Macaca mulatta: one gene and its partners. The main gene of each other region encodes a partner of the protein of the gene in region 2 in a complex. Links are inferred from orthologs where the notes say so. Each region holds a gene or a part of one and is shown on either strand. Other genes may lie near its edges.

Region 1 (4,276 bases), on a different chromosome or scaffold from region 2:
TGAGGTCGGGAGTTCAAGACCAGCCTGATGAACATGAACATGGAGAAACCCCGTCTCTACTAAAAAAAAAAAAAAAAAAAAAAAAAAAAAAAAAAAAAAAAATTAGCCGGGTGTGGTGGTGCATGCCTGTAGTCCCAGCTACTCGGGAGGCTGAGGCAGGAGAATTGCTTGAACCCGGGAGGCACGGGTTGCGGTAAGCCGAGATTGCACCATTGCACTCCAGCCTGGGAATTAAGAGTGAAACTCCATCTCAAAAAAAAAAAAAAAAAAAAAAAAAAAATATATATATATATATATGTATATATATAAAAAAAAGTAATATATATGTAATATTATATGTAAAATTATATATGTAATATATATTACATATTATATATAATATATACACACATTTATGAAGTATGATGAACAAAACTATTTTAATAAGATACATAAAACATATCAAATATAACACAAGATCTTATACAATCTTTACAATGACTTTGCATGCAATTATGGTCTGTCATTTCTACCGTTTTTACAGATGGAGAACTAGGCTTGGAAAAGGTAAATCAATTTTTCGAAGTCACACAGCAAGTGAGAGCAAACACAAATAGTTCAGTCTGACTGGAGAAGAGAACACGTGAGTATTAGCAGCTGTAAGGTTTGGCGTTTGAATGCTGGCTTAAGTATAGATTCAGTTTTGCATACTGTGATAAATTATTAAAGCTGTCACTGGCAAGACCACTGTGGCAGCAAATTTTAAGAAGTGGAAGGAAGAATTCGGTTAAGCCAGTGTATCTCAACTTCTGCACTAATGACACTTGGGACCAGGTAATTTTGTATTGTTGGGGGCAGCCGAATAACGGTAGGATGTTTAGCAGCATCCCTGGTGTCACCAGATTCCTTACCCCCCATTTAAGAACCCCTGAGTTACGCTAAGCCAGAAGGAGGGCATAATGGTGTAAAAGAAGATGCTATCAGTGAGAAAGCAAAGAAAGAAAAAATTTGAAAGTCATTTTGACGGCAGATCTCACGGGATTTCACAATTCATGAAACCTATGGATGAGAAGAGAAAGGTATTAAAACTAGCTTCCTTCTCTGAAATTTTCAAAAACTATGTTATGAATCACAAATAAAATCTTAGATTACAAGTAGAGAATGGTGCTTTTGTTTAAAAAAAGAAAAATCACCATTTCACCAGTCCCTGATGAATCCAGAGGATACTTACATCACCAACTCACCAATAAAATAACTTTCAGATAAAAAGAGTAATTTTCACAATAATTTCTAACTTCTATTTTTCTAACGTTGGGCTATGTTTTAATAATTAATTCCTTAACAGACCTAACTAAAATATACATGAAAGTAGTTTTCATACAAAAGATGGCTTTGATACAAATATACCTTTAAATGCAATATTATTATTATTTGAAACAGAGTTTCGCTCTTGTTGCCCAGGCTGGAGGGCAATTGCTAGATCTTGACTCACTGCAGCCTCCACTTCCCGGGTTCAAGCGATTCTCCTGCCTCAGCCTCCCGAGTAGCTGAGACTACAGGCGCGTGCCACCATTCCTGGCTAATTTTTTGTATTTTTAGTAGAGACGGGGGGTTTCACCATGTTGGCCAGGCTGGTCTCGAACTCCTGACCTCAGGTGATCCACCCACCTTGGCCTCCCAAAGTGCTGGGATTACAGGCGTGAGTCACCGCCACTGGCCGCAAAATTATTAAATAGGAACTTTTCCTTATGTCTGACTTCCAGGGGCCTGGTAATAAATGAACTATACACAAAGCCAACCACATGCTACACCAGAAAAAATTGATTCCTGTAAAAATTTTGCATCCTCTGTGCAATCCAATAAATACATGTAGAATTCCAGCATCAGGGAGTACAAGCAAAACAGAGACGTACTGAGGAAACACATAACCTGTTAAGTCCAGTCAAAAAGTATTTGAGGAGTTTAAAGTTTTACGTTGAGTCCTACATAAATTAAGGCTCTCCTCCTTAAAGTTGTTTGTCTTTACTGGGTGTGTAAAAGAAACTTAAAAAAATTAGCCTTCTCTGATTAGAAAAAAATTAATGTTCTAAAAAAAATTTTATTTTTTAGAACATTAATTTTAGAAATGAATGTTCTTACATAGTTTCAATATCAGAGCAAGATAACACATGACATTCAAGCTTAATGTAAAAATAGGCAACAAAAAAGAATGAGGTTTCTAAGTAAAAGCTCAAAGAAACACCTACAAACACATTCTCTAAGGCTAAAGTGGCTTTTGGATTCCGATGCCTCACGTAGTTTTAAAAACACTTCCCTTCCATCCCCTCCTTAGTTCCTTTAGAGAATTTCCCCCTCTAGCCGTCTATCTAGAATATGATGCTATTAGAGATGTTCAACAAAAGCTGGCATTGGAGATCTTCAAGGAACGAGGGACAGCGCCGGGTGACTAGGGGCCGGAGCGCGGGACAGAGAGACTAGTCGGCCAGAAGGAGGTGCGGTGGCTGCCGGCGGTAACCACGCCAATGCGCGAGCTCTGCGCGGGCTTCACGTCTCATGAGCCGGAGCCTGGCCGGGATGCCGGCGACCTCGGACCGGAAGAAGAAATAAGGTGAAGCGGCTCAAGCCATTCGGCTTGAAACACCAAGGGACTCGGGGGACGCAAAGAAGCGACCACTTCGGTTTGGCTCTCACACATACTTACTTTTTCAACTCGGGAGGGTGAGCTTTGCTCATGGCGTATACTCCGCGGACTCACAGACGCCTTGGAACTGAATGCACGGCTTCCCTCAGGCTCCCGCGGTAGGCCCGGCGTCTTGCGTTTGGCGTCATCGACCTAGTTAGCCAATCGATTGTTGGCAGTTTTTAACACTTCACATCGCGATATCTGAGCGCCTCGGTCATTGCTGAGCTTCCGGTTGCGTCGTCAGCTATTGGCCAGGACAGAGGGGTGGGCCCTCTAGGCACCTTTCTAAATTCGGTTTTCCTTGGGCAAAATTGAGATAACGGGTATTCTGACGATGGAGTATCCGTGTTCTTGTCTATGGAACAGCCAAAAAAAAAAAAAAAAAAAAAAAAAAAAAAAAAAAAGCCTGGCGCCGTAAATCCCAGAACTTTGGATCTCTTGAGCCCAGGAGTTCGAGACCAGCTTGGGCAACATAGGGAGACCCCCTCCTCTATTTAAAAAATAAAATTGAAATACTGAGATAACAGTCCCCTCTCTAACTTCTGGGCAAACCCGGCAAATCCCGCATGTCTGTGGATCGTATCGCTTGTTTTCTTCATCTAAACCAAAATACCAAATAATGATCCCTGGAGGAATGGGCCTCTATATTTCTTTTTTTTTTCTGAGACAGTCTCGCTCTGTCCCCCAGGCTGGAGTGCAGTGGCTCGGTCTCGGCTCACTGCAAGCTCCGCCTCCTGAGTTCACGCCATTCTCCTGCCTCAGCCTCCTGAGTAGATGGGACTACAGGCACACGCCGCCACGCCCGGCTAATTTTTTGTATTTTTAGTAAAAATGGGGTTTCACTGTGTTAGCTGGGATGGTCTGGATCTCCTGACCTCATGATCCGCCCGCCTCGGCCTCCCAAAGTGCCAGGATTACAGGCGTGAGCCACCCGCGCCCAGCCGGGCCTCTATATTTCTTTGGCAGGTATCCTACAGCATACTTTCAGACCAAGTAGGGTTCCGGTAACATGCAAATTAGCAGCCTCTGCACCATTTGGAGAGTAAGGTGACTGGGCCTGTCTCCAAGAATTTCAATCTATTTCCGACTGATGGGTCTTGCAAAAAAAAATTTTTTTTTGTTTTGAGATGAGGTCTTGCTCTGTCACCCAGGCTGGGATGCATGATGTGATCATGGCTCACTGCAACCTCGAACCCCTGGCCTCAATCAATCCTCCCACCTCAGCCTCCTGAGTTGTTTAGACTACAGGCGCAAGCCACTGCACCCAGCTAATTTTTTTTTTTTTTTTTTTTTTTTTTTTTTTTTTTTGTAGAGACGACGTCTTGCTTTGTTGCCCAGGCTGTTCTCGAATTCCTGGCCTTAAGAGATCCGCCTGCCTCCAGCTCCCAGAGTGCTGAGATTACAGGCATGAGCCAGCATGCCTGGCAGTTCTGCAATTTTTCAAACATTACCTCCAGAACTCACTGATGTGCCATTGCCCCGTATATAAAACGTGAAGTGCAGCACACAAACATTCTCTAATACAAGGTATTCCTTTTTCATGTCAAGATGTGTAAAAAGTGGCCTCGGACTTGTTCCCAGTTATGTTACCCCAAAATAGGAGAATGCACGGAT
Region 2 (3,500 bases):
TTTTGCCATGTTGGCCAGGCTGGTCCTGAACTCCTGACCTCAGGTGATCCACCCACCTAAGCCTCCCAAAGTGCTGGGATTACAGGTGCGAGCCACCACACCCGGTGAGAATTAATTTTGAACTTCATTTGCTGCTTTAATTTTAGAGCAAATTTGAGCCTTAATCCTAGAGAGTTTCAAGGTTCTCTGGCTCCCAGCTCACTTAGCGCTCTGGGTATTGCGGGGGGCAAACATAACAGGGTGGATGAGATTCTGGGAGCTGAGTCTGACTCACCCCCTCGGCAGCATCAATGAAAAGAACCACTCCATCTGAGATGCGCAAGCCAGCTGTGACCTCATCAGAGAAATTCACATGTCCTGAAAAGCAAATACTAAGTAAGTCATCACTTGGTGTAGGATAAAGCACAATTAACTGGTACGGTGAACTGAGGGGGCACTTCAAAGCCTGTGAACCTCCAAATACCCCCTTCCCCTCCTCGCCATAACCCGCTGCAGGACAAAAATATCCCCCATTAGAATCATATCCTTGCATTATGCTTTTCTACGGGAGGCTCCCTACCTAAAAAGAGGGAAGTGCCCAGGAGAGCATGAGTCCACATCACACACCAGCTTAGCCTAATCAGCAGTGAGCAGAGATCTGTGGGACTCAAGACAATCTGGAGGCAGGAGAAAAGGCAAAGGAGGGCCTGGAGCACAGTGTGCTGTTCGAGGAAGGCAGTTCCTGCCGAGGTGCTATAGGGGCAGGGGCTGAGAGGTATCAGGACACTGGGCATCAGATGGTGCCAAGAAGGCAAATCAGCCAAAACCTAAAACCTTTCAGTTTTTAAAAACTCTGCCCCAGTTGGTCCTTCCAATAGGAGGAAGAGTCAGCCAAGGGGTCCTGTTCCCAAGGTCATCTGTATGTTCACCAGTCTCCTTTGAGAGTACTCGAGGCCAGGAACTGGGTCTGACTCACCTTTAGCTCCCCAGCAGATAGCATGGGGCCTGACGGGCTGAAATGAATAAATGAATACGATTCCCTAACATTTTTACATATTCAAAAGAGTAAAGACATGAATAGGAGGCCTGAAGTACGATGCTTGCTAAATTAACAGCCAGAAACAAAGGGGAGAGTCAAAACTGAAAATGGTGTCAATGAAGGTGAGGGAATGTAAAAACAAAGATGCACTGCTCTGTTCTGCTCTGGAAAGTGAGAGGACACACGCAAAACCAAGACAAGGTTCCAATAATCAAAAGCCAAAGGATGTCCTACCTGGAGTGTCCATGATATTGAAGAGATAAGATTTTCCTTTGGTGTCTGGCAAGACCACTGTCACAGGAGTGCTTTTGATGCCTACACCTCTCTGAAAGAAACAAAGAGTGGTCAAGACCTCTTCCTATGCAAGAGGGGTTCATTTTGCTTTTGGGGCTCCCCAATTGCTACTAAATTACACTGATGGCTCTCCTTATGGTGGGTGATTTTTATCTAGGCTTCTAGCCAGCATGACCTTGAAAATAAAATATCTTGGTGTTAGATAGCATTTTGGGGGGGCTTGTTTCAAGTATGAAAAGATGAAAATGAATTACTGCAAACAAAACAGTATTAAGCCCTATCAGAGAATCCAGGGTCCTAGAATCTCATCCTCTTTATACATGAGAAACAAAAATAGCTGAGCACCTTGAAAGTAAAAAGAAACAATCTGGGGTATTTTAGTGTTTTTTTTTTTTAAAGAAATATAAAAGCTATGACAGGAATAAACATTTGTTTAAAATTCCAGTCAAACAAATATATAAATGCATTATAAAACAGTAACAGCTAACACTAACTGCCTATCTATCTTTACTAATTCCAAGTGCCTTTAGTTAACCATACTTATTTATACTTAAAACTTCCATTAGGAAAAAGGGACAGAAATAAGAGGGGGGAAAGAGAAGGGGTCAGAGAGTAGAGAGAAAGATCCGGATGGAAAGACAAAAAGAGGAACACAAAGATATAGGAACCCATTTTCAAAGAGAAGCTACTCCTAGAAAGAGGTCATCATATGGATGGAGTCATCCTGCGGATTTTTAAAGGATGACGTCATTTAAAAAAAAATCACGTTGAGCTTCTGCGTAACTTAAAGCACAAATGCAGACATCACCTCTTAGTATTTGCCCTATATTAGGCCAAATTTAATCTAGTCAAGAACAGGAGGGTCCCCCTCCCAACCTACAGCTTGCCTACCCAGTTCTTTTTAAAGTTATAACCCTGGAGTAACTGGAGGAAGAAGGAGATGGGATGTGAGAAGTGAGGAGAAAGAAGTAGAGTACGAACTAAAATGCTATCATAAAGGCTCCTCTACATTCCCTACAAAACTATTACTGGGGGGTCTGGTGTAGGCAACAATCTGATTCCACAAGGCATGCTTACCTCTTGCTCTGTGAAGAGGATGTCAGTATAGCACAGCTGAAAAAAATTAACTGTTGTTACCACCTGAGTTCAGACTCCTCTCCCACAAACGAACCATCAATCACTTTCCCTCACCACCTCCCAGCTCAAGGGTTTCTTTGAGATTAAAGAGAGACAGAGAGCAGGGTGTCCCCACAGCAATTCCAGACAATGAGACCAGTGCCCTCCCAGCTGGAAATGCTCCTGGGTGTGTGGAGGGATTTTTTTATTTTTATTTTTTTGGAGACAGAGTTTCACTCTTGTTGCCCAGGCTGGAGTACAATGGCGCAATCTTGGCTCACTGAAACCTCCTTTGCCTCCCGGGTTCAAGAGATTCTCCTGCCTCAGCCTCCCAAGTAGCTGGGATTACAGACGTGCGCCACCACGCTCAGCTAATTTTGTATTTTCAGTAGACACAGGGTTTCACCATGTTGGTCAGGCTGGTCTTGAACTCCTGACCTCATGTGATCCACCCAGCTCGGCCACCCAAAGTGCTGGGATTACAGGAGTGAGCCACCACGCCCGGCCGGGTTTTTCTTTTTGGTTGTGGTTTTGTCTTTTTTTGAGACAGAGTCTCACTCGCCCAGGCTACAGTGTAGTGGCGTAATCTTGGGTGACTGCAACCTCTGCCTCCCAGGTTCAAGCGATTCTCCTGCCTCAGCCCCTCGAGTAGCTGGGACTACAGGTGCACATCACTGTGCCCACCCAGCTACATTTTGCATTTTTAGTAGAGATGGGGTTTCGCCATGTTGGCCAGGCTCGTCTCAAACTCCTGACCTCAAGTGATCCTCCTGTCCTGGCCTCCCAAAGTGCTGGGATTACAGGCATGAGCCACCGCTCTTTTTGAGTTGGGGGAGGTCACTAAAGACCAGGTATAGCTGAGAGCTAATTTATATCAAATGCACAGAATTCTTAGCATGGTAAAAGGAGACACATGTCAGCCTTCATGCTAGAGTGTTAAAACAATCAATCTGGCAGGGATTGAACATTTATTGCACTGAGACTTGCAGCCACAGTTGGCCTCATTCACAGGCATTTAAATTTACCATGAAAACCAGGTACAATTGTATCATATTTATAGAGCGGGCTATTA
Region 3 (3,500 bases), on a different chromosome or scaffold from region 2:
ATGTTGGCCAGGCTGGTCTTGGACTCCAGACCTCAGATGATCTGCCCACCTCGGTCTCCCTAAGCGCTGGAATTAAAGGCATGAGCCACTGTACCCAGTCTCAGTTCTTAGAGTGTTTTGTATGTTGAAATGGGAATATGTCCAATATAAACTGCTGAACGAGAACTACAAGTTACAGATGTGAATAAAATATGACCCAATTTATGTAAAAAGAAATCTGTATATATGCTTATGAATGTGCATATAAAATGATCTGGAATAATATTCCTACATACCCACAGTGCAGGGGGTTAGGAAGGGAGATTTTTACTTTATATATAAATATTGTAATAAACTTGTAATCTTTTTACCAACTGTAATTCTTTATTTTTCATGATTTATGAGTCTGAGATCTTGTATGTCTGGATTTGAGGTTTGAGAATTAGAAACGTCCAAATGACAGTTCATGTTAGTATTGTTGTGTTCCTTCATAAAGGTTGAGGATATGATTCAGGAAAGCTGAAATTGTTAGCATATTCTTGATAGGAATTGATGCAGATAGCATCTACAAATTTTCAGCGTCTAGTTGTTTCATCTTTTTACCTTAATAAATGTGATTTTGGCCGGGCGCGGTGGCTCACGCCTGTAATCCCAGCACTTTGGGAGGCCGAGGCGGGCGGATCACAAGGTCAGGAGATCGAGACCACGGTGAAACCCCGTCTCTACTAAAAATACAAAAAATTAGCCGGGCGCGGTTGTGGGTGCCTGTAGTCCCAGCTACTCGGGAGGCTGAGGCAGGAGAATGGCGTGAACCCAGGAGGCGGAGCTTGCAGTGAGCCGAGATTGCGCCACTGCACTCCAGCCTGGGCTGGGCGACAGAGCGAGACTCCGTCTCAAAAAAAATAAATAAATAAATAAAATAAAATAAATAAATGTGATTTTAAAGTGTTGCAGGTAAAAAGTAATGGTTTTATTCCTATTTATAGATTTTTGATGAAATTGAGTCATGAAACTGTAACCATTGAATTGAAGAACGGAACACAGGTCCATGGAACAATCACAGGTACGGAGGTTGGACTACTTTTATAACATTTTTTTCTTCTCTTTTACCTGCTATCCAGAGTTTATTTTTTGATTGCTTAATGAACGTTATTGTAGTACAGATTCTTATTCTTTTGTCTGAATTATGTAATTTATTTATTTATTTATTTATTTATTTATTTATTTTTTGAGACGGAGTCTCGCTCTGTCGCCCAGGCTGGAGTGCAGTGGCGCGATCTTGGCTCACTGCAAGCTCCGCCTCCCGGGTTCACGCCCTTCTCCTGCCTCAGCCTCCTGAGTAGCTGGGACTACAGGCGCCCACAACCGCGCCCGGCTAATTTTTTGTATTTTTAGTAGAGACGGGGTTTCACCGTGGTCTCGATCTCCTGACCTTGTGATCCGCCCGCCTCGGCCTCCCAAAGTGCTGGGATTACAGGCGTGAGCCACCGCGCCCGGCCTATTTTTTTTTTTAAACAGAGTTTTGCTGTGTCACCTGGGCTTGAGTGCAGTGTCATGATCTCGGCTCACTGTAACCTCCGCTGCCTGGGGTCAAGCAATTCTTTTGTCTCAGCCTCCCGAGTGGCTGGGACTACAGGTGCCTGCCAGCATGCCTGGGTACATTTTTTTTTTTTTGAGACGGATTCTCACTCCGTTGCCCAGGCTGGAGTGCAGTGGCACAGTCTCAGCTCACTGCAACCTCCGCCTCCAGGGTCTGATTAATTTTGGTAGAGATGGGGTTTTGGTCTCGAACTTGTGACCTCATGATCCATCCACCTCGGCCTCCCAGAGTGCTGGGATTTCAGGCGTGAGTCAAGTCACTGCACCTGGCCTAATTTTTGTATTTTTAGTAGAGATGAGGTTTCAGCATGTCAGCCAGGCTGATCTTGAACTGGACCGGGCTGGTCAGAAGACCTCAGTTGATCCGCCTGCCTCGGCCTCCCAAAGTGCTGGGATTACAGGCGTGAGCCACCGAACCTGGCCTAAGTAGGTCTTTAGTTATCCCATTAGTTCAGGTATAATTTGGTAAAGGCTTCAGTATTCAGGTGTTTCAGCTATAATGTCATATAATCACCCTGAAAAATTGCTTTGTATTTTGTAAACTCTCATACTAAAAATAGTAGCTTAATGAGAAGAATAGGTGTTGCAGACTACTTAAAAGCCTGTGTAACTTTGTAATCAAAATATTCTTAACAAAAGTGGTAACAATTATTACATATAGAGAGAAGCAGAAACAAAGGTGAGGATAGTTTAGTGGAATGGGGATTATGAGAAAGTCACAAAGACAGTGAGAGAAACATTCAAGAAATACCTGTCAGATCAGTAGTGAGCCTGAAGCCCAGTCAGGGTTCTTCCATTGCTTGCTGCATTCATTTCTGTAAGCAAAACTTAGTGTGCTAGGAAAAATCTCTAGGAAGGAAACACTGCTGATTTATACTGACGTTATTCCCCCATTTACCAGTTGCATATGTGCTAAATTATGTCATAGAAAACTTGCACTGTAGCAGAACAGTATTCTTTTGTAGTCCAGTATTTACTGTGGCTCAGTAGATTAATTAGTTGCCTGACTTTTATCATACTAATAACTGCCCAATTATTTTTCTTTTTAGGTGTGGATGTCAGCATGAATACACATCTTAAAGCTGTGAAAATGACCCTGAAGAACAGAGAACCTGTACAGCTGGAAACGCTGAGTATTCGAGGAAATAACATTCGGTATTTTATTCTACCAGACAGTTTACCTCTGGATACACTACTTGTGGATGTTGAACCTAAGGTGAAATCTAAGAAAAGGGAAGCTGGTAAGTTTGAAGGATTATAAAAATTTTTGTGAATGCTAATCCTAATCCACACTATTCATAATATAAATATTTGCAAACAACACAAGTGTCTTTGTTGTTTAATATTTCCTATAATGTGTATTGTAACTCCTGGTGTTGCTATTAAAAACATTGATGCGGCTGGACACAGTGGCTCACGCCTGTAATCCCAGCACTTTGGGAGGCCGAGGCGGGCAGATCACCTGAGGCCAGGAGTTCCAGACCAGCCTGGTCAACATGGAGAAATCCCATCTCTACTAAAAATGCAAAAAAAAAATTGGGCGTGGCGGCGCATGCCTTTAGTCCCAGTTACTTGGGAGGCTGAGGCAGAAGAATCACTTGAACCCGGGAGGCGGAGGTTGCTGTGAGCCAAGATCATGCCACTGCACTCCGGCCTGGGCTACAGAGTGAGACTCTGTTTCAAAATAATAATAATAATATGGTTGTAATCCATAGCTTGAAAAACAATGATTTAACCTCTCACTCATGCTGTGTATCATGCTGCTTTCCACTTTGCAAGAACCCCCTGTGGGTACCAAAATCTACAGATGCTCAAGTCCCTTTTCATAAAATGGTAATAGTGTTTCCATCTAACCTCTGCACATCCTTTTGTACACTTGTAATACCCAGTATAATGTAAATGCTTTGTAGATAGTTATATTG
Region 4 (3,284 bases), on a different chromosome or scaffold from region 2:
AGGGGAATCGCTTGAACCCGGGAGGCGGAGGTTGCAGTGAGCTGAGATAGCGCCATTGCACTCCAGCCTGGACAACAGAGCGAGACTCCGTCTCAAAAATAAATAAATAAATAAATAAATAAATAAATAACCCAGACAGCAAGGAACATTTCCCATATGTGAAGCCTGTGGTACTAGCTACCAATTCCCCAAACGCAACCCCTCTCCCCAACACCTTGGCTCCGGTATATTTTGTAGTACAGGCTCCCAAGAGAAAGAATGCATGAAAGTACTTTGTAAACCATTAAGTGATACAGAAATGTGATATGATAAACAGGCTCAGAGTTCTTACTTTCGTCATAGCTTTGGCTACTTCAAGCAAATTATAGCTCTTTTCTCAAACTACTCCCACCCCTATAATTGATGCCAAAATGTTCTGAAAAGAAACACAGGCAAAATGGTTATCCTAGGGCTAAAAATCCTGATTATACCTACCTTGAGGTTTTTAATCCAGGACCCTACTTCACCACCCGCCTTCTCTGTCACTGTCTCTACAAAGGAAGGACACGAATTAAGACTTCCAAAAGAACAAAATATTTATTTTTTAAATTTAAGAATTATCAGACAGCTAAGTAACGGGAATTGGATCCTCATCGGGGTCTTCTGGCAAGTCGGAAGCACCACCACCCTCTCCTGTAGCTCGATGCTTCTCTAGTTTAGCAATCAATTCTTTCGCTGGATTGAAGACGCCATTGGTCTGCTGGTCACAGACATAGCAGCGCGGGGTGGTGCGGAAATGCTGCAGTGCACAGCTCTCGCAGAAATAATGCCTGCACTTGGTGACAACTGGGTTTTGGAAGCTCTGGCGACAGATGAAACACTTGAATGGTATTTCCTCATCATCGCTTCCCACTTCATAGTTTTCATCCTCATAGACACCATAGCGACCCTCATCAAGCTCACGTTCGATCTGCCACCCATGCTTGTAATCTGAACGGTCATGGAGGAATTTGCAGCTGTCTCCGAAGCCGCAGAAGCCAGTCTCTTTGTAGTCCTTACAGATGTCGGGCTGGTAATCCCAGCGCACCGTGGCACGTAGATGCTCGGGCGCTCGGATGGGGCCCTTCCTCACCATCCCGGAAGAGGCATTGCCCATAGACGTATCCTTGGGCTTCATGTATTTCTGATAATTGTTGATTCCCCGATAGATCTTGTCATCCTCCTTGCCCCTCAGCTCCTCCTGGATCTTCTGGCTGCGCTCAAAGATGGCTTGTGCATCGCGCTCTTTCTCTGTGTCCAGCTCATAGACAGCTGTCGCCCCCATATCCTCTGGTCCCACGGGTTTCGCCGAGCGGGTGGATTTATAAACCACGCCGAGACTCTCGGGCTCATTTTCCTCCTCCTCCTCGCTGCTCAAGTCGCCGTAAGCTGCCTTCTGTTTACCACTGTCACGAGTCTTCTGTATCATTGGATTGTGAGTCGCCCGCTTCTTTTCCGGTCGAACCACAGTGCAGCCTTCGTCGCTACTGCTGCCGCTGTCTCCGGGCTCTGGGTCGCAGGCCGGGCGCTTTCTGCGTCCAGCAGCCCCTTTCCGCCCAGGCTTTTTGAAAAGGAAGGTGCACACCTGATCCGCCGTCTTCCCTGGAGAAAACTGCTCTGCCATTTTAGAGTCCCGAGCTCCGAAACGGCCGTCGCTGCCTGGGTTGCACTTGGCCTCTGCGCGTTACTCCACGTCGCGCGCTCCGCCGGGAGTCGAAGCAAAAGACACTGACGGAAGAGAACTGCGAGAGCGCGAGCGCCAGCCTCTCTTGAGCCCTGGCAGATCCCGTCGCTTCCTCCGGAGCCGTACGTGGCACCGCCCCGCTCGCGGGCGGCCGCGGGGCTTACTGGGAAGGGAGCCGAAGCCCGGTCACCTTTCAAGGACCCAGAAGTAGGGTTTTGGCCTAGATAACGGGGCAGAGATGTGGTTCGAGATTCTCCCCGGACTCGCCGCCATGGGCGTGTGCTTGTTTATTCCAGGACTGGCTACTGCGTACATCCAGAGGTTCACTAACGGGGGCAAGGTAAGGCGGCTTCCTGGGCCCGGGGGCTGACTCCACTGGCTGATTTCTGAAAAGGATGGTGGGCAGAGAGTCCGTCAGCCTGCGGACCCTCTCTCCGAGGCCGGCCCTCTATTTTCTTCCGGTTGCCTAGAAGCCGAGGCTTGCGAAACGAAGCGCGGTAGAAACCACATCCTGCTCTGGTGAAAAACAGCGTTTCTGGGTGTATCAAAGTGGGCCTTAGGGCAGAGTAGCGACGCGGGGGCCGGAAAGGTAGATTAGAAGAGGTGGCTCAAGCCTGAGAATCCCTCACTGCAACCTCCGCCTTCCGGGTTCAAGAGATTCTCCTGGCTGGGCGCGGTGGCTCACGCCTGTAATCCCAGCACTTTGGGAGACCGAGGCGGGCGGATCACCTGAGGTCGGGAGTTCGATACCAGCCTGACCAACATGGGGAAACCCCATCTCTACTAAAAATACAAAATTAGTGGAGCGTGGTGGCGCATGCCTGTGATCCCAGCTACTCGGGAGGCTGAGGCAGGAGAATCGCTTGAACCCAGGAGGCGGAGGTTGCAGTGAGCCGAGATCGCGACACTGCACTCCAGCCTGGGCAACAAGGGCGAAACTCCGTCTCAAAAAAAAAAAAAAAAAAAAAAAAAGATTTTCCTGCCTCACCCTCCTGAGTAGCCGGGACCACGCCCGGCTATTTATTTATTTATTTTGGTAGAGACGGGGTTTCATCATGTTGGCGAGGCTGGTCCCGAACTTCTGACCTCAGGTGATCCACCCGCCTTGACCTCCCAAAGTGCTGGGATTACAGGCGTGAGCCGCCGCTCCCGGCCACCCTTGACTTTTTTATTCCCCACTTTCTCTTGCAAGCGTTTAGGAATTTACTGCAAGGTCTTGTGTTTTACATCAGGATTCATTTTCCCCTCTTAGCCCTTCACATCATCTCTAGAGTACAGAGTATAAATTTATTTACTTTTTGAATTTGTGATTGTCCACGTGTGATCTACAGCTGTTGTTTCTTAGTGTCCCAAAAGGCAACAACTAGATATTTCTTTTTTTTTTCTTTTTTTTAAAAAGGAAAAGAAATTCATGTTGGTTAAAATAGTGTAAGAAGTCACGGTCACCAACTTAATCCTAAAGTGTAGTGGTCTGATTTTATTTAGGAGATTCTGTTCTTGTACTACTAATTTGCATTTTTATTTGAATGATGATTCCATTTCTCTAGAATGTCCCTTCTAAAAATTGTAATATCCATCAACT
Region 5 (3,500 bases), on a different chromosome or scaffold from region 2:
ATTTTGGATATTAACCCCTTATCAGGTGTATGGTTTGCAAATGTTTTCTCCCATTCCGTAGGCTGTCTCTTCACTCTGTTGATATTTTCCTGTGCTGTGCAGAAGCATTCTAGTTTTTATGTAATCCCATTTGTCTCTTTTTGCTTTTGTTGCCTGTGCTTTCGGGGTCATATCCAAAAAATCATTAACCATAATACAGTAGTTTCACAGTTTCAGGTCTTATGTTTAAGTCTTTAATCTATTTTGCATTGATGTTTGTATATGTTTTGGGACTAAGGTCTCTTTTCATTCTTCTGCATCTGGATGTTCAGTTTTCTTGGCACCATTTATTGAAGACACTGTCTTTTCCCTATTGTGTCTTCTTAGCATCTTTGTTGAAAATCAGTTGACTGCAAATGTCTGGATTGATCTCTGGTTTCTTTGTTTTCTATAGCTCTCTGTGTCTGTTTTTATACTAGTGTCACGCTGTTTTGATTACTATAACTTTGTAGCAGATTCTAGGTCAGGGAGTGTGAGGTCTCCAGCTTTGTTCTTTTTGTTCAAGATTGCTGTGGCTATTTGGAGTTTTTTGTGGTTCCATGTGAGTTTTAAGATTGTTTTTTCTATTTCTGCGAAAAATGTAACTGGAATTTTGATAGGGATTGAGTTGAGTCTTTATGTTGCTTGGGTACTATGGACATTTTAGTATATTATTTCAGTCCATGGACAAGGGATGTCATGCATGTTCTTCCATTTTTTCATCAGCAGTTTGTAGCTTTTAGTGTACAGACCTTTCATCTCCATGGTTAGATTTATTCCTAAGGTTTTTTGTTTTTGTTTTTGTTTTTTTTATAGTTATTGTAAATGGGATGTTTTCTTGGTTTCTTTTTCAGAAAGATAGTTCATTGTAAGCATATGGAAGCACTACTGATTTTTATATGTTGATTTTATGTCTGCAGCTTTACTAAATTAGTTTATTAGTTCTAACAATTTTTTGGTTAAGTCTTTAGGGTTTTCTATATTAAGATCCTGTTTACAGCAAACAGACTTCTCTATTTTTGATTTGGATGCCTTTTATTTCTTTCTCTTGCCTCATGGCTCTGGCTAGGACTTCTAGTACTATGTTGAATAGAATTGGAAAGAGTAGGCACCCTTTTCTTATTCCTGATCTTAGAGGAAAAGCTTTCAGCTTGTCACTGTTGAGTATATTAGCTATGGGTTCATCGTATATGGCCTTATTCCAATTTAATTTCTAGTGAGAGTGAAGTGGGAATGTGAGAGAAATGGGAAAGATAAGCAATAAATTTGAGAAAAGCGGAAAGGAATCACCATGTTCTATAATATGTGGTTTTAAGCAATTGGTGATATTTAAAAGGGTCAGAAAATAGAAGTACTCCATGTTCTACTTATTATTTTAAAATCTGAGGGCTGTTTTCTCTTGTCATTTTACATGACTATGATTCATCTTTTAAAAAATATGGAATTTAGTGGCCAGGCATGGTAGCTCAATGCCTGTAATCCTAGCACTTTGGGAGCCTGAGGCAAGAGGATCACTTGAGTCCAGGAGTTTGAGACCAGCCTGGGCAACATTGTGAAAACTCATCTCTATGAAAAATACAAAAATTAGCTGGGCGTGGTGGCACGCAGTACTCCCAGCTACTCTGGAGGCTGAGGTGGGAGGACTGCTTGAGCCCAGAAGGCAGAGTTTCCAGTGAGCCAAGATCAAGCCACTGCACTCCTGCCTGGGTGACAGAGTGAGACCCCGTCTCTCCCCAACCTCACCAAAAAAGGTGGTGGTATAAAGTAGGTGCAGCGAGTTGTAGAGGTACAGAAAGGTGATCAAGAGACAGCCATTATCCATAAAAGTGGGCAGAGATCTCTCCATTTTACTTACAAAAAAAGTAGACTCAGAAGACTTAATGGATTGCTAAAGATATTATAATTTATAAGCTGCATCCTTTTTCTCATTTTCTACTCTAGTGATTCTGTTGTTGTATCTAAAACTACCATTAAGACTTTTTTTTCCTGACTTTTGGCAATCCAATAATTACTTGTCATTACATTGCTAAAAATAACTTCAGTTTGCCCAATTTGCCTTTCCCCTTCCTCATCAAATGCATATAGAAACATGACCATTTTCAAAATGAGTTACAAGTAGGTACCTTTTAATTTCCTGTTATTGTTTTAGCATTAATCTTGCATTGCTTTTAATTCATGTCTTTATTTCTCACAGGAATTTTCCAAATCTTCATTTTATTCAACTAAAATTAGACTTAAAGATTTAAACCCAAATTTGTCTTTAATCACAAAATTAATTTTATAAGAATGACGGATTCATAGTAGAAACTTTATGTTGTCTAGCTTTCGTACTTTTGAAGCAGGTCTGCTTTTGTTTACTTTTTTGAAAATGTTGAATTTATTTATATGAACCTTAAAAACCTCAAATTCATGATTTGATATAACAGACTGGGAAAAGAGGAATTATATGTAGAGAGAAAAATTTTGGCGATAAATTGCAGCAAAATCTTCATTCTATTTTACAAAATTACAAATTCACATTTCATTTTCTGAAAAACAATTTTTATTTATTAGTAAGGTGAACTCTTTCCATTTAGTTCTGATTTAGATTTTATGATTATTTATAGAGATGTATTACTGAATTTTAATAGTTTTTGTTTCATTTAATTCATTTGGTTATTGTTGACTCCTTTTTTTATTCTTTTTTAAACAGAGGACTGCTCTCCAGGTCTGTTTTGCAAGCACAGAGTGCTTCTCCAATCTTCACCCATGTTTATGCAGCATTAGTGGCAATTATCAACTCAAAATTTCCACAAATTGGAGAATTAATCCTCAAGAGGTTAATTCTTAATTTTCGAAAAGGCTATCGAAGAAATGATAAGGTATATATGAATGGCTTGTAGGTAGAATGATACATAGGAACAGACTAATAAACCAGTATCAACAAAAGTAAGCAAGGTTGATTTTGACACAGGTACATAACATAATGCTTTTTAAAAACTGTCTTTCATGAGAACTTCTTTATTCTCTTAAATATCCCTGGCCACTATTGATGAGCCACAAAAATGATGGCTCTAACTGTAGAATTTTAACTGTTTAACCAGAAGTGATACTCTTTCATGTGTTTTATCTTATAACTTTCTGGTAATACAAAAATTATACTTGTGTGGTACATGTTTTAAATAGATTGTTAGTAGGCCATAGATTAATGTAAATAAATGAAAATTGGGTTTAGTTTATGGATTAACTCTCCACCTTCACTTTTCAGCAACTTTGCCTGACTGCTTCAAAATTTGTGGCGCATCTTATTAACCAAAATGTGGTAAGTAATTATCTTCAATACTTGTTCGCATTCAGTGGCATTAGACCACAGGGTTGATGCCACCTCACTGATACCTCTCTATTTTTGCTTTGCTTTATAGTCCTTAGGATAAATATGTTGAATGATATTTTCATTTGAAAACTATAATAAACGTATTTAATATTCTTTTTTTTTTTCTTTT
Region 6 (4,073 bases), on a different chromosome or scaffold from region 2:
TTAAAAATGGTTAGAGTGGCAAAATTGTAATGTATATTTTACCACAATAAAAAGAAAATTAATTACAAAAAAAACCCCACCAAAACACATGGCTGAATCATTTACAGAAACTCATTTGACAGACATACAGTCAGTTCAATTTCTTCGGCAGATGTGTCTTTCCCCTGAAGGAATGAATTTCCTCAATAACTTTGGTGTTGTGCCTTTAGCATCATTCATTAAAAGACTCATGAATTTCACTTGAAAACTTTCTTTCAGGGCTAAATGATGAGAAATGTTTTGTTTTCTCCAGCAAAGTAGTGTGTTTCCCTTACAGTATTATTATGAATTAAATGTCTGAGCTCTTCTTACTTTAACTACTAGGAATAAAATCTGTGGCTGAATTCTGGTTTAAGTCCATGTCTTGTACCTAGTATATCATAGTATCCTCCCTGGCTTTGACTTTATTTTTTAATTTTGCCGTACATTTGTCAATTTAATTGTATGTATTCTTATTAGTCAGACTAAACCTTTGAGCAATAAGGTGAAGCAAACTAAATGCAATGTTATGACCTTTACAGCTCTTTAGCTTACCTGCATGTTCATGTAGCCATCTACAGATACCAGATAGCCCTTGTACTCCATTCCCCACTTAAGTTTCACCATCACTGGCTTTCCTGTTAGTCCATTGAGGAAAGGTTTGGGATTGAGGGGTAAACTCTGCACAAAGAACAAAAAAGGATCCAATTAATTATTTTTCCTCCCACCACCAACTCTCTTCTACTAAATACCAATATTTTGTGGTATGCAAATGAAGAAAACTCTTGACTCATTATTTTAGTACACAATTTTCACTTTCATTTATTGGAGAGTACCAGGGAAATTTAAATATCCAGTTAGCCAGTATCACCTTTAACCCATCAAAACAAAATACTCACTATTCACTTAAGATAACACCGACTACATACATCACTTACTGTTCTGAGCTCTAAAGAAACAAAGATAAAGGCACTTAAAAAAAAAAAAAATGCGGGCCAGAAAGGGTGGCTCATATCTGTAATTCCAGCATTCTGGAAGGCCAAGGCAGGGGGATCACTTGAGGCCAGAATTTCAAGACCAGCCCAGGCAACATAGTGAGACCACCTTCTCTACCAAAAATAGTCAGATGTGGTGGTGCACACCTGTAGTCCCGGCTACTAGGGAACAGAGCAAGACCTTGTCATAAATAAATAACAGAGTCCCTGTCAAGAAGTTGGAGATGGGGAGGGGGGCTCCTCACATACAAATAATTATACTGCATATTGCAACATAATAAGAGGAGATATACTAGGCACAAGGGTACCGAAGCAATCCAGGGAAAAAAGGAAAGGTTGCCTGAAATAAGTTAACCTCAGTTTTAAAGAATGAGAATTTATTTCCAGAGCGGGAAAAAATCCTGTTCCAGGCAAGGCTAGCTACTTATGTAAAAGGAGGGAAGAGTGAAGCAACAAGGTGATTTTGGGGACATACAATTCAGCATTGTCAGTCAAAGTCCCAAATATAAGACTACAGAAGGAAGCAGAGGGCAGATGACGCTTGACAGTCTTTAACTGTGGAAGCTAGGGCTAGGTCCTAAATGACTTTGTCACTAGCACTGCCTCTTATAGCAATCACTTAAAGTTTGCTCAGCAAACCATTAACATCTCCAGTGAATTCGGTTTTTGCCTTTTTCTGCTCACTCACCAGTCAAAGAAAGAACAGAACTAAGAAACTTGGCTACTAACCCCCTCTAACATAAACATATTCGGAGTGACTTGATGCGGCGATTACTCCAATAACCTAATGGGTCTCCAGTTTTCATTCTCCAATTTATTATCCACCACAGCAACATGATTTTTTAAAGTGCACATCAAATTGTCATATTTCTGCTTAAAATGATTCAATGGCTTCCAACTCAATCATTTTCAATTGATTTGGAGTACAATCAAAACCTCCCAATACAGCCTAAGAGGTCCTGTCCAACGCCTGCTCCTCCGACACCATCTCGTAACCACTCTTCCTGCAAGTGGCTGTACCTTTTTGTCAATTTCTCCAACTGACCAAGCTTTCTTTCCGGCCGCAGGTCTTATGCGCCTATTCTCTGTGCTCGGTACACTCCTCCTCCTGCTCTTTAAAGGGTCTATTTCATGACACTTAGGCTTCAGGTTAAATTCCACCTCCTAGGGAGGCCATCTCTGACTAAGCCTCTAAATGTCTAACGCGCACCCTCACAGCCTCCTGTCTGCATTCTTCTTAGCACTTATTACTTGCAATTGCATATTTGTTATTTTTTGACTGTCTGTCTTCCCCAACCGAGTTAAACTAGAGCATGGCCGTATCATTACTTTCATGCAATGAAAGTGAATTTTGGAGTGTGGTTAAGTGGGAAGTGCAAATTCTCTTTGAGTTTTACCCCGACCCTGTAGCCACAAATAAGAATATCCCAAGCCCGGATTCAAACAAAGAGGAGAAGGCACGGGCACTCCTAGAAAAAGAAAGGCATCGGGAGGAGCACGCGCCTCAGAAATCCTAAAAGCAGAGTGAAAGAAGCTGGCGACCGGGTGCGCGGCGCCTCACGCGGATGAATGGGAAACGCGCGAAGCAACCACTAGGCCCCGCGAGGTGGTCTCCCTCCTTCTCTTTCTCCCCGCTTCTCCCGCCGTTCTCGTTCTCCTTACCATCGTAACCACGGCCGAATATTGCAGGCTACTCACTGCCGACCAGGCTGCCGCTTGTCCCTCGTGACTACAGCAGGTACCCCAGGTCCCGAGCCGCTGAATTTCAAGAAAAATGGCCGCCAAACAGGAGTGTGACCTTTCACCTCCCACCACGGCCCTTCCTGCCTCTGTGATTGGACGAAAAGAGATGCGCGCTGATTGGAGGAGATGGTTGGACCAGTATCTCCTGGCAACCAGCAGCGGCTTGAGTTTGCGCCTGGCCGGCTGCGCGCGGGTCTTGGGAAACCCGCTCTGAGGAGCAAGGTGAGGCAGCCAAGGACTGGAGGCAGGCCGGTGTTGTAAATGTGCGGTCTGGGAGAGGCTGTGTGACGGATGTGACTTCTCCCCAACTTGGTTAATGGGGATTTTACTTTGTCTTTTTACACCCGTGAGAATGTTCAGGATCCCAGAGTTCCTTCCTCACTCTTCCAACAGGTTCCATGATTTGGGGGCGCCTCTGCCGCAGGCCGTTTCTACCTGAGTATTCTCTCTTCTGCAACACCCATTTCAACCCCTTTTAAAGGAATTCGGGGGTAGCCAGACAAGACTAGGGGCGGTGAAACGCACCGAAGGGAGTCGGATACAGAATTTATTTTAAACGAGGTCAGGTTGTGTCTGGGATACGGTGTCATGTCCCCCCACCCCCCACGACCCCGCCGGCCCCATCTTTCTTTTGCATCGCCAGCAGAGACTGGCACGGCCTTCTTACGTGCATTTGAAATTACCTAAGGGCGTAAGCAATATTTCCGCTGTCACGGATTAAAACTTTCGACGTAACGGTGTTATCTGAATCTCACTGGTTTTTGTCGTAATCCTAGTGAGTTCGGCTCACTCTGATCTGAAATGCTAAATGCAGTTCTTGGAGAACACGCCCTTTGGGAAGTAACGCTTTTTTGCGGCCCTGAAGAGATGGATTTGAGGTTGAGGATGAAATGTTGGTTGTTGAGGCACTGTGGAGCAGTGGGCAAGACTTTGGAGAGGGCCTGCATTCGGAACCTGCGTCTATCAGGCGCAGCCGGTGTTGGGCAGTGTCTTAACCCTCAGGGCCACTGTTTCCACGGCAGGAACGCGGCTTTAAAAACGGAACCATCCTCAGCGTGGTTGCGAGAATTTAACCTAAAACGGGGCTTGGCCTTGTAAAAGCTCAGTGTTTCACATAAGTGTTGAACACTGACAAGACAGTCATTGTCAGTGTAGTTTTTACCAAACAGTTATTAGATTTATTCACCCTAAACTTAAGTGGATTTCTTCCTTAGTTTGTATATTGTTTCATGAACTTTAAGTCTTTGTACAGACTTTGAGTTCCTACTATGTGTCAGGCTCTTTCAACAATTGTGGAAATCTTACCTTACCGTCTGA
Region 7 (2,598 bases), on a different chromosome or scaffold from region 2:
ATCACACTATCTATTCTACACATTTTATAGTGATACGTATTTATACATACTGCAGTTGGAAATGGGGAATGCTTTTTTGGTCTCCCATGGTAGCCTGCAGATTTTAAAAGCAGAAGTCCTGAACCTCTGAAGGCAACATAAGAAAAGTACTCATTTGAAACCTGTAGTATAAAAAAAAAAAAAAGAGAGAGAGAGAGAGGCCAAGTGCTGTGACTCACACCTGTAACCCAGCACTTTGGAAGGCTGAGGCCAGAGGATTGCTTGAGATCAGGAGTTTGAGAACAGCTTGGGCAACATAGCGAGTCCTCGTCTCTACTAAAAATAAAAACTAGCTGAGCTCACTGGCACACACCTGTAGCCCCCAGCTACTTAGGAGGGTAAGGTGGAAGGATTGCTTGAGCCCAGCAGATGGAGGCTGCAGAGAGCTTGATGATACCTCTGCACTCCAGCCTGGTCAACAGAGTGAGATCCTGTATCAAACAAACAAACAAACAAACAAATTTTAAAAAGGGAGAGTCAAGATGTTTGCTTTATTTATTTCTTTTAGGGAGGGAGACAGGAGGTAAAAAAACAAAAAGTTTGGTTTTTGCTTCAAAGAGCTTTTCTCAAAGAGCAGGGATTTATGTTCATTACATGCAACATGGACAAACACTGTTCTGGTTTTCATGACAATTTGAATTCAAAGTAATAAGTTTTTCTAAAATTCAGTGTGTTTATTTGGATATATGGATATTCCTTGTGTTCCTGGTCACATATTAAAGGAACTGGCACTTTGGCGGCAAGAACAAATAAAAACTGGTCTTTGATTTGGGTCTAGGTTAATAACTAAAGAACCATTCAGCAATAATGGCTTGAAACATTTATACATCCTATGAAACTGCAATTAGTTAAGAGGCTGCTGATCCTAATAACTATGACACGAGTAAGGGAGTTAGGGGAGAACTGTTAACTCTGGATGCCAAATTCAGAGCAAAATATCTATTACCTCCTTCTCACTTTTGCAGTATCTATAAATAAAGTGTGTGTGGGGGAGAATTACATGAATAATGTTTAAAGTGCATACAGAACTGAGAAATTTTTCATGGAATTTGCCACTTAGTTCAATAAAATGCTCATAAGGAAAAAACCATTTACGGCAAAAGACTAGTTACACTGTTGCTGTTTAGAGCATGAGAGCAAAATGAATAACAATCAAATTCTCTGGTTTAAACGTAATTGTCTTAAAACACGTTATTCTGTAAGTTGACATCTATGCCTTGAAAATTCAAGGCAGAAAGTAAAATCATTTAGAAAGTCAGAAATTCCATCAATACATCTAGACAGATGTTTGCTTGTAGTTTTTGGTATCCAAAACCTTTTTTCCACACATCGCACAGATGCCTGAAACAAAAGAAGATACGTGATCAATCAAATCATAATACCAACTGTTTGGTTTAAGTCAATCCTGAAGCTTAAAATATAATTTAACAGCATCAGAAGAGAAAAAAAAAAATATATATATATATATATACTTTTAATTATAAACAGGTTTTACGTCCCATTTTGCCTTAGGATAAAGAGTGTTTGGTTAACAGAATTTATGACAGGCTACATCGTTTCTGTTAACCAAATTAGCAGCAAATGAAGTAGGTTTTATGAATAGAAAAAAGGTATTAAAAGAAACTTACCTTTTTTGTAGGCACAGCCCTGGCAGTAATGAGAACCTGGTTGGTGCACAGAACTTTTACAAATTCTGCAAGTGGAGAACTTATTCTTTCCATATGGATCAAATCTAGAAATTTTTTTTAATGAGAGAAAATTGTATATTACACTAGAAACACACTCTTAAATAACCCCACTTACGCAACACACAGGATTAATCCATGCTCTTCATCCCTCCATCAACCTCTACAATTGATGGGTTTAGCCTATTCCAGATGGCTACTGTCTGATATGCCTGTACATCTCTGCTCTGCTCCGTCCATGTGAGATATATACTTATAGTCAGTTGTACAGAATTTATTCTTGACGTGTTCGTATCAATTGTATCTGTCATTCTATTTGTGTGACAAAAATATTATGGAAACTGATGAAATGTCGGTGCAAAAAGAGTGACTGATTCCATAAAACCTAAGTGACTACTTTAGGACGACCAGGAATAATCGGAATTGCTATTGAATTAGGTATGGGTAAGACAACTGTTGACAACTGGGGGAAAATCACTAGGAAAGGACTCCATACCTCAAGCATCAATTTTTGCTCCACTTTAAAGATACTGAACATATTCTGATTGTGATTTTTGTGACGACAATCATGTAGAGCACTTATCAGTTGATTTATGCTCAAAAGGCTTTGTTTCAATACCATATGATTAATACATCTACAGTTATGTGCTTTAAGTTAAAATAAGGTATGTGTATCTTTTAATGACTGCTTACATTAGCTGACATTTTTAATTAACTGACTCAATCCTTTTAGATAAAAGGGCTTCTACTATATAAAAATGCCATCTTACAGTAACTGGAGTGAAAAAAAGAAATACTTCCCCCTAAAATGGCAATAATACTCTGCTTTAACTGTGCTTCCCTAACTACAAAATGAGTTTTTGTAATGATCCTC

Evidence for each region.
Region 1: EFTUD2 (region 2) and SNRPG share a complex: the UniProt entries of both Homo sapiens proteins name them as parts of the minor spliceosome. The link is inferred for Macaca mulatta from reciprocal best matches to the Homo sapiens genes EFTUD2 and SNRPG.
Region 3: EFTUD2 (region 2) and SNRPD1 share a complex: the UniProt entries of both Homo sapiens proteins name them as parts of the minor spliceosome. The link is inferred for Macaca mulatta from reciprocal best matches to the Homo sapiens genes EFTUD2 and SNRPD1.
Region 4: EFTUD2 (region 2) and RNF113A share a complex: the UniProt entries of both Homo sapiens proteins name them as parts of the minor spliceosome. The link is inferred for Macaca mulatta from reciprocal best matches to the Homo sapiens genes EFTUD2 and RNF113A.
Region 5: EFTUD2 (region 2) and CWC22 share a complex: the UniProt entries of both Homo sapiens proteins name them as parts of the minor spliceosome. The link is inferred for Macaca mulatta from reciprocal best matches to the Homo sapiens genes EFTUD2 and CWC22.
Region 6: EFTUD2 (region 2) and SNRPF share a complex: the UniProt entries of both Homo sapiens proteins name them as parts of the minor spliceosome. The link is inferred for Macaca mulatta from reciprocal best matches to the Homo sapiens genes EFTUD2 and SNRPF.
Region 7: EFTUD2 (region 2) and CRIPT share a complex: the UniProt entries of both Homo sapiens proteins name them as parts of the minor spliceosome. The link is inferred for Macaca mulatta from reciprocal best matches to the Homo sapiens genes EFTUD2 and CRIPT.

What each region holds. Positions count from the first base shown.
Region 1 is NC_133418.1:54,435,747-54,440,022, reverse strand, and holds the start of SNRPG (small nuclear ribonucleoprotein G), read right to left. Parts: upstream 2,801-4,276; 5' UTR 2,713-2,800; coding exon 2,681-2,712; intron 2,565-2,680; exon of another isoform or gene 2,234-2,564; coding exon of another isoform or gene 2,226-2,233; intron 1,039-2,225; exon of another isoform or gene 938-1,038; coding exon of another isoform or gene 891-937; intron 1-890. UniProt on the Homo sapiens protein: Plays a role in pre-mRNA splicing as a core component of the spliceosomal U1, U2, U4 and U5 small nuclear ribonucleoproteins (snRNPs), the building blocks of the spliceosome.
Region 2 is NC_133421.1:69,256,213-69,259,712, forward strand, and holds part of EFTUD2 (116 kDa U5 small nuclear ribonucleoprotein component), read right to left. Parts: intron 2,426-3,500; coding exon 2,390-2,425; intron 1,344-2,389; coding exon 1,253-1,343; intron 358-1,252; coding exon 275-357; intron 1-274. UniProt on the Homo sapiens protein: Required for pre-mRNA splicing as component of the spliceosome, including pre-catalytic, catalytic and post-catalytic spliceosomal complexes. Component of the U5 snRNP and the U4/U6-U5 tri-snRNP complex, a building block of the spliceosome.
Region 3 is NC_133423.1:70,786,568-70,790,067, reverse strand, and holds part of SNRPD1 (small nuclear ribonucleoprotein Sm D1), read left to right. Parts: intron 1-965; coding exon 966-1,042; intron 1,043-2,627; coding exon 2,628-2,819; intron 2,820-3,500. UniProt on the Homo sapiens protein: Plays a role in pre-mRNA splicing as a core component of the spliceosomal U1, U2, U4 and U5 small nuclear ribonucleoproteins (snRNPs), the building blocks of the spliceosome.
Region 4 is NC_133426.1:126,364,799-126,368,082, forward strand, and holds RNF113A (E3 ubiquitin-protein ligase RNF113A), read right to left. Parts: upstream 1,858-3,284; 5' UTR 1,643-1,857; coding exon 608-1,642; 3' UTR 501-607; downstream 1-500. UniProt on the Homo sapiens protein: Required for pre-mRNA splicing as component of the spliceosome. As a component of the minor spliceosome, involved in the splicing of U12-type introns in pre-mRNAs. E3 ubiquitin-protein ligase that catalyzes the transfer of ubiquitin onto target proteins.
Region 5 is NC_133417.1:84,908,053-84,911,552, reverse strand, and holds part of CWC22 (pre-mRNA-splicing factor CWC22 homolog), read left to right. Parts: intron 1-2,710; coding exon 2,711-2,879; intron 2,880-3,265; coding exon 3,266-3,319; intron 3,320-3,500. UniProt on the Homo sapiens protein: Required for pre-mRNA splicing as component of the spliceosome. As a component of the minor spliceosome, involved in the splicing of U12-type introns in pre-mRNAs. Promotes exon-junction complex (EJC) assembly.
Region 6 is NC_133416.1:103,187,286-103,191,358, reverse strand, and holds the start of SNRPF (small nuclear ribonucleoprotein F), read right to left. Parts: upstream 2,801-4,073; 5' UTR 2,679-2,800; coding exon 2,676-2,678; intron 700-2,675; coding exon 574-699; intron 1-573. UniProt on the Homo sapiens protein: Plays a role in pre-mRNA splicing as a core component of the spliceosomal U1, U2, U4 and U5 small nuclear ribonucleoproteins (snRNPs), the building blocks of the spliceosome.
Region 7 is NC_133418.1:78,211,129-78,213,726, forward strand, and holds the end of CRIPT (cysteine-rich PDZ-binding protein), read right to left. Parts: intron 1,772-2,598; coding exon 1,668-1,771; intron 1,381-1,667; coding exon 1,316-1,380; 3' UTR 501-1,315; downstream 1-500. UniProt on the Homo sapiens protein: As a component of the minor spliceosome, involved in the splicing of U12-type introns in pre-mRNAs. Involved in the cytoskeletal anchoring of DLG4 in excitatory synapses.